2 linked regions of the Macaca fascicularis genome follow. Each later gene encodes a partner of the first gene's protein in a complex. Links are inferred from orthologs where the notes say so. Each region holds a gene or a part of one and is shown in the gene's direction. Other genes may lie near its edges.

Region 1 (4,018 bases):
TGGTCAAATCCCACTTTGGGATCATGGCGTCTTGCAAGAGACAGGAGCTCCCTTCTGCCCTCAGCTGATGGAGGGAAGGGTTGTATCAGCCATTAGTGTGCCCAGTTGTGGCATGGACATTACCTGTGGGATGCAGTGGGGACCTGTGTTTGTCAGCCTGAGGCAGTGAATCCACTGGGAAAACTGAGGTGCCTAAACCCTCAGTCTCCCCCAGGCCTGCCTCCAGTACCCTACGCAGAAGGGGAACTTCCCCACTTCCTTTCAGAACCTTAATTTTAGGGGCTGAGCCCTTGCTCCCCTTGGGTCTTGCCGGTCCCTTTGCCTGAGAAGAGAATGTCTCTACTCCAGCAGAATCTGACAGCGATCCTTGGACTAGCAGAGTTATGCAAAGAAATGATGGTGACAGTTTATTTATGGACGCTCAGATTCGCGGCCGGCCGTATGATGGAGGCGGTGCTACTGTGAGGGAGAAGTGAGGAGAACATGATGGCTGCAGGGATAAATGTAAAACAGAGACATTTTCACCTCCTTAGAGCACCACTGAGGCCCGGGTAAGGAGAGTGTTTTGCCCTTCTCAGATACTATCAGGAGTCAGGTAATACCCGGAAGGTGCAGTTTGTCTGCAGCCTGTCATCCCAGTTACAGCAGACGGAATGGAAGAGAACACAAGGAAATATTCTATTTATGTGTCTTTTAAGTCATTATTTTATGAACTGGTCTTATTCTAACTGGATCATTTTGCTACTTTCTTTGGATGGGTCATTCTAATAAGAGTCGTTCCTGACTGCGAACTACGCAGATAAGAAGTTCTAGACACAATATAAAAATCCAGGTGCATACTTGCACAAAATAGGCACGCCCCTCCTTTTCACTAAATCTAAAGGGCTCAGTCTCAGGTCTCCGGGAAGGCTGCATGGCCGGGGTCTAGCTTGTGTGCCGCTCGGGCAGTTAGTGGGCCGGGCGAGCCTTCGGGGCTGGAGGGGACGCGGGGCTGAGAGGCTGGGGAGTTGGGGGCTGACTCCGGGCGGGCGGGGCCGGGCAAGGACCAGCTGGCCTGGGGCGGGCGCACCAGCCGAGCTCTCTGCCCGCGGGTCCCCAGCGCCCAGCCGCGTCCCGGCTGCGTCCCGCCCCGCCCCGCCCAGCGGAGCCGCCGCCAGTAGTGGGAGCCGCGCACTGAGAGGCGGGGACTGCGCTCAGCGGAACAGCAGCCCTGGGGCCGAGAGTGGGGCCGGGATCCGAGAGCAGGTGACGCCAAGAGCTGAGTGGGACTCTTGAGCGCGCGGTTCAGCACCTACCAGGGCGTCCCCTAAATTACCTCGCCTTCGCCTGTCTCTGGGAAAGAGGTAAGCTTTGGGCTTTCGAGGCGCAGTTCTAGCTAGACCTCCGTTCTGGGAGGTGGGAAAGGGGCTTGACCCTGGGGGCTCAGATAGGCAGTCTGGGGACAGTTCCACCGGGGCCGGTGCCTAGAAATGGTGAGGGAGGCACCTCAGGAGCTGGGAGAGAAGGAGTGAGCGCTCTTCTCCCCTCTCTGGCACCCAGCGGCGCGCCTGCTGGCCGAGAAGGAAGCGAGAAGTCTGTCCTCCCTGTCCTGTCCCCGGCAACTTGCGGCCAGGGTGGGGGTCCGCAGGCTCCGGGTCCCCAGCGGCGCCAGCCAGGGCGGGGGCAAAGTTTGCCTCTCCGCGTCCAGCCGGTTCTCTCGCTTCCGCAGCCCAGCAGGTGCCGCCTGTCCTCGTCTTCCCGCTGCAGCCGCCCCACCATGGACTCCCCGGTCCAGATCTTCCGCGGGGAGCCGGGCCCGACCTGCGCCCCGAGCGCCTGCCTGCCCCCCAACAGCAGCGCCTGGTTTCCCGGCTGGGCCGAGCTCGACAGCAACGGCAGCGCCGGCTCGGAGGACGCGCAGCTGGAGCCCGCGCACATCTCCCCCGCCATCCCGGTCATCATCACGGCGGTCTACTCCGTGGTGTTCGTTGTGGGTTTGGTGGGCAACTCGCTGGTGATGTTCGTGATCATCCGGTGAGCGCTGGGTCGGCGCGGCGCGGGGGGCTGGGCAGGGCAGGGCAGGGAGTGAGGGTCGGGCCCCGCCACTGTAGCGGCGGTGGGGGCAGCTAGCCAGGCGATGGGAACTCTGTTCTGTGAAGGATGCTGGAAGTGCTACAGGGTGGCCTCCTAGAAGAGGTGAAGGATTTTCTGGGAGTTTTTGGTGGAGTGCTGAGAGGTTCACACAGGCGAATCCGAGCGTCCAGGGGCATCTGGAAGATTTCAGAGTGACTCCCCCGACTCCACCCTAGGGCCCAGCGTTTCTGCTGAAAACTCTATGCGCAGGGCAAGGTGCCTGAGTGCTGACAACAGGGTCAGGGTCTCCTGGTAAAGGAGTTAATCCATTTGCCTGGTTGCCTGCGCCAGTTCGTAGCACTTTGTTATGCCCTTTGCAAATATTTCTTAAGATCAATTTCAAGCCCACCCAATGCACTGAAGATAATTCCGAATTTCCTGTGACTCCTCCGACTGGTGTTTTGGCTTATGAAACAAAAGCTGATATATGATCTAGCGTTGTTGATATGCATATAGGAGCCTTTTTAGTACCAAATGTCATCCCATTTGTTAGGAATATCAGTAAATAATATTTATCTTCTAAAGCATGGCCTGTGGAGATTTTCAAAAACTGCTTTGCTGTTTTTTTTTTCCACCATGAGAAATTGAAGGTTTTATTTTATTATTTTTTGTGTGTGTGTGGAAATTTCTTTAGGTCAACTTCCAATAATAAGTATCGCAATGTCCACGAATATGGTAATTTTCTGGTAAGCAAAGTGATTCTGACTTTAAGAAAGAAAAACAAGAAAAGAAAAACCTAACTTTGTTCTGCAGTCTTCTTGAGAGAGATGTGTTTCCTTTTCTGGAAGCACTAGAGTTTTGTCAACACACCTGTGAGAAGGAGTAGGACACTTGTGTTCCTTTGAGAAGTCTCTGTGAAATAAGGGCGGGGTGCAAGTCACCCTGGCTAGGGACTCTGAAAGGATGAATAACTGATTTTTTTTTTAAGCTTGATTTTAGTTTTGAAACAGGCCTTTTGTTTATTATGAACTTTAGCAACCATATCATGAATGATAGCATAAATCTTTCCCTTGGAATATTATCATAATAAAAATACTGCTTTATCTTTTGTTTTTTGTTTTGTTTTGTTTTGTTTGCTTGAGAATGTCAGGTCTTTTCTTCCTATGTATGCTCTGACATTAAAAACCATCATTTAAGTCTCCAAACACTTATTATAAAGCTCATTTCACCAACAACTAGTGTTTATAGCTTGGTGCCCTTGGTTTTCATAATTGCCTATTGCATTTCCCAGGAATTCTATCCATGATGAGTAAAGGAGGGAATATTTTAAAAGTAAATTGTTTGTCCAAGTCATTAGTAATCTGAGGGCTGGCCTCTACTAAAGAGACAATTAGACAAAAGAAAAGACAACTGTATTCTAAATTTTAATCAAAATTTTTAGGAGATCTTTGGTACAGAAGCCATTTTTTTGGTGGTGGGGTAATAGAAACATTGTTACACAAAAGAAAGCTCTAAGAAAACAAATTAGCTCTGTTTCTACCCATATCATATTTGGGTGCTCAAGTAAAACAGATACATATTATTGTTATTTGAATGAGCCCCTGAAGTCTCCAGTTTGAAAAGAGCTTTGTAGTTGCTCTACAACCTTTTGCAGACTAGAATTAAAAAGACTGAAGAATCCTAAAATAACATTTAGATGTTATGTGCAAATATAACTCCGTGGGGAACATTTGACATGGAAGAAGGAAAAAAAATCCTGTAGATTAGCTAGGACTTTTAATGGATAGATTTCCCAAAGATATCCAACACTAAAGTGTGTTATAAGGGGATAAGTTCAGCTAAAAATATAAAAGGAGTTGGATAGTTCGCATACATCGTTCTCCATTCTCCCACTCCATTCTCAATACTTAAAGGTTACATTTGATGATAAATGAAAAGCGAAGAGTTCTACTGCCATCCTGGAGTG
Region 2 (3,946 bases), on another chromosome or scaffold:
GGTATGAAAGGCTTGTAGGTACTGGGTAGTTAGGATGAACACATTCCCTAACTGCAGTTAAAACCCGGAAACTAAGATAATTAGTTCTTCCAGGACTGCAAGACCTCTTGCCTCAATGAACCCCATTTTCCTTTTAAGTAAAACCATCTGCCAGCCAGCCTCTGAGGTTAAAAAGATTAAGAACGTAAAACGGAGGAAAAAGATGTTGGATGCTTTGTTATGTGACAGCTCTCAAGGCCACCTGTGAGGGCTGTCAGCCTGCATGCCTCAGAGGACCAAGCCAGAAAACCGTCAGTTTGCTTGGCTGCCTGGGATGAAGGGCTGGGGGCCTCAGAAAAAAAGGCAGACGAGGAAGCCACAAGAGTTTGGGGGTTGGAGCTGGAGGGTGTCGGGAAACTTGGGAAAGCAAGACTGGGAGAGGGTGTGGGTGGGTCCAGTGAAGTTTTTTCTTTTTGTTTGTTTTGGGAGGGAAACAGAGGTCCTAGGGGGTGAGGGGACTCTGCAGCTTTGCTACTAACTGAACCCAACCCCTCCTCCACTCCTCGACGGATCTTAAATAGAAGACGTTTAATAACCATAGCTCACAAATGTTGAGCAGTTATTAAGTTAATGGTTAGCACTTAAACGAGCTCTTGTTATGGAAATACCAGCCAACTTTAGGCTCCGGGGCTGATCCTGGGACCGCAGAAGAGAGAGGGCCGAAAGCCTGGAACCAGGAAAGGAGGGTGTGTCTGGGCACAGAGTGACAGGGACCAGGTCTGAGGCCTAGAAGAGCCGGGAACAGTGTGGGTCAAGCCGTCCGGAGAGCAGGGGGTCCAGGCCCTGCGTGGGTGGAAAGGCCCGCGGTGCTCCTACCTTTCAGTGAGGTCTCCACCAGGCGCAGGTAAAGCTGCGAGCTCTTGTTGCCGTGACTCATGCGCTGGGCTAGCCCGTTGCGCTGCAGGACGCACTCCTCAAACTGCACGACGTTCTGGTGGCGCCGCTTGAGGCTGGTGAGGGCCCAGAATTCAGCCAGCGCCAGCTCCACGTTCTCAGGGGCGTCGCAGCGGATCTTCTTGACCGCCACCCGGGCCCCGCTGCGCCCGGCCACTGCCTCATAAACCACGCCGTAGCTGCCGCGCCCGATCTCCGCCAACAGGCTGTAGCGCGGCCGCGCGGACCCGCCACCGCCCTCCGGCCGTCGCCGCGCCAGGTAGGCCTCGCCCGGGGCCTCGGCCGCCACCGGATCCATGGCCTGGGCCGCCGCCGCCGGCCTCAGCTTCGTGCTGGGCGCCCGCGGCACTGGGCTTCGCCTTTTCCGCTCCGGGCTTTGTGTACCTCTGCGGGCGCCGTCCTTCCCCGTTTCCATGGCTGCGGGCGGCGGGGGGAGCAGCAACGGCGCTGCCCGGGCCCCCCCTGCCTCATCCCTCCGTCCGGCCCTGGGACGCGGAGGAGCGGGACCTTGGATTGTGACCTGCGGGCGAAAGAATCGGTTAAACGACCAGGCCGAGGCGGGGAGGCCAGGAGTGTAGGCCGCGGGGCGTCCCACCTCCTCCTCCCCCGGCCGCCGCGGCCCCTTTAAGACGGAAGCCACCACCGCTGATTGAACGGGGGAGGGGAGGGGAAAGCGGGAAAGACGGAACCACTGGGCAGCGGATCAGAGGGGGAACCGGAAAGAAAAGCAAAAACTCTCCGCTCTCTCTGTTAGCTTGTCATGTAGCGATAGGAAAAAGAAGAGCCAGCAAGCTTCACGCCTTCTGAAAGCCGCCTTAGGACGCGATTTGGCCGGCGGAAATCTTTTTCTTTGCCTGGCCCCCTCCGTGACGCCCCTCCCCGCGCCCCGCCTTGTGTTCGCCCGCGTGTAAACAGTCCATTGAATTAAGCCCTAGCGGAGCCCAGCGGACCGACCCAAGTCCCCGAGGGCGGCGGGTAGAAGGGATTGGCTCAAAAGTTCGGCTTCTCGGAGCGTGACCGGCCGAGGACCCGATTTCCCTTCCCAAGCGCGGAGGCAGTGGCAGTAACTCCAGCCTCGGCGCTGGCCTTAAGTCCTCGAACGGCGCCCTTACCTGGCCCGCGCACCTCCACTTCCGGGCGGCCCGTTTCCTCCCTGGAGCCCCTGCCTGGGGATGGTCCGCTCCGGGCCTGGGCTGCCTCCGGGACCGAGCAGCGCGGGAGGTGGCCGGAGCCCGGCGTGCAGCGGATCCTTCTGCTGCTGCGGCGCACGCTGGGGAGGCCCAGGCTCCTAGACTCCCGTGGCTTTCCACGTGTTCGCGCCAGCTGAGCCCTTTACATAACCTCTTTATATAAGCTGCACCTCCCGCCGGCGCCCGGGCCAGCGGAGACTCCTGGTGGCCCATCCCCCGGGAGGCCAGCCGAGTGAGTCCTGCACCGCCCGGTCCTGCCAAGGTCGACGGAGCAGCCGCAGCCGAGCGCACCGGCACGCCTTGCCGAGACCCAATCACCGGCGAGAACACCCAGCCAACAAAAAATAGGCGCCAAATTCCCGTGATCCGCGGCGGGCTCCGGGTCTCCGCAGCGGCCCGCGCATCACCACCCCTTCTCGCCTGACCTGCGTGAAGACCAATCGTCCGCAGTAGGCGTCTAATAAATACTGATTGGGTGATGTCTTGGTCGTTTGATTCATATGTCGGGCCTGGGAACCTCAGGGACTGAGTTGGAATCCCGACCTTCCCTTCTACCAAGACAGTTATCTTGTGCAAATCATTGACCCACCCTGAGCATCCGTTTCTCTGAGGATCTATTAAGAATGGGCCTTAATTCTCAGGAATGATAGACCCAAATGAAATACCTAGATGGACGCTAATTGGTGTGGGACTGAGTTTTAGTACTCAAAGCTCCATTTAGGCACAGATTTTTGAATATTTTGTTCTGTACTTTGTATTCCGATGTAGGCCTAGTGGGTGCCCAGTGTTTATTAACTGAATCTACGGATAATTATTGAACACCCGTAATGTGCTAGGCACCATTCTAAGTCGCTGAGCAAGTCTAAGTCTAATAGACATTCTAAGTCTAATAGACAATGCAGTTTCTGCCTTGGTTGAGGTTCTGTGCCACTGCAGGAGACAAACCACATGGGTGGCCTTGGGCAAGTTAATCAATCTTCTTGTGTATTTGTTCCTGACCTGTAAGAAGATTCACAGAGGTTATACAGGTAAAGCACTGACAGCCTTGCACACAATGTTAAATATTATTAAATAAATGCACAGGATAATTTTTGCCAGTGATAAGTGCGATGTAGAAAAAGAATGAGCTAAAGAGTGCTCACTGGGGACAGGCCATTTCTGATAATGTATTTGGTCGCTGAAAGCTTCTGTTTTCATGATTAAATTTCAAATTTACACGTAAATTTCAAGAATCGTAAAGATCATATGCTTTTCCACTAGAATAACAAATTGTTATATTTTGCTGCATTTCCATATCCTCTCGTATGTGTGTGTATATACACAAATACATGTTGTGTGTGGATATCTATATGGTATATACCCCAAAAGAAAGGAAATCAGTATACGGTATATAGATATTCTCACACACACACACACACACATATATAAAACATATAATTTTTACTACATCGTTTTAGAGTTTCCAACATCAAGCTCCTTTATCCCAAATATTTGTGTGTTTCCTTAAAAAAAGACATTATCTTGCATAATCTCAGTACAGTGGTCAGAAATCAGGAATTTTAACAATTATACAATTGTTTAATACACTCCATCCATATTTAAATTTTGCTAATTGCCCCAGTAATGTCCTTTATAGCTATTCCCCAGGATCCAATTCAGTATCACATGTTGCACTGAATTGTCATGCCTCTTTAGTTTCCTTCAATCTGGAAGGGCAGTTAGTTATCCAGCCTTGCTTTGTCTTTCATGACCTTGACATTTTTGAAGAGTACTGGTGAGGTATATTGTAGAATGTCCCTAAATTTTTATTCATCTGATGTTTT

Evidence for each region.
Region 2: the proteins of OPRK1 (region 1) and PDYN are in contact, whole or in part, in a cryo-EM structure (PDB 8F7W), measured with the Homo sapiens proteins. The link is inferred for Macaca fascicularis from reciprocal best matches to the Homo sapiens genes OPRK1 and PDYN. Residues at the interface, in NP_000903.2 of Homo sapiens: Thr111, Gln115, Trp124, Val134, Ile135, Asp138, Tyr139, Met142, Lys200, Glu209, Cys210, Asp216, Tyr219, Lys227, Val230, Phe293, Ile294, Glu297, His304, Ala308, Leu309, Tyr312, Tyr313, Ile316, Tyr320; in NP_001177821.1 of Homo sapiens: Tyr207, Gly208, Gly209, Phe210, Leu211, Arg212, Arg213, Ile214.

The regions. Positions count from the first base shown.
Region 1 is NC_088382.1:63,228,534-63,232,551, reverse strand, and holds the start of OPRK1 (kappa-type opioid receptor), read left to right. Parts: upstream 1-1,218; 5' UTR 1,219-1,343; intron 1,344-1,708; 5' UTR 1,709-1,756; coding exon 1,757-2,013; intron 2,014-4,018. UniProt on the Homo sapiens protein: G-protein coupled opioid receptor that functions as a receptor for endogenous alpha-neoendorphins and dynorphins, but has low affinity for beta-endorphins.
Region 2 is NC_088384.1:85,203,724-85,207,669, forward strand, and holds the start of PDYN (proenkephalin-B), read left to right. Parts: upstream 1-1,453; 5' UTR 1,454-2,045; coding exon of another isoform or gene 2,046-2,336; 5' UTR 2,337-3,151; intron 3,152-3,946. Other genes in the region: STK35 (serine/threonine-protein kinase 35), read right to left, coding at 856-1,453, 2,046-2,336.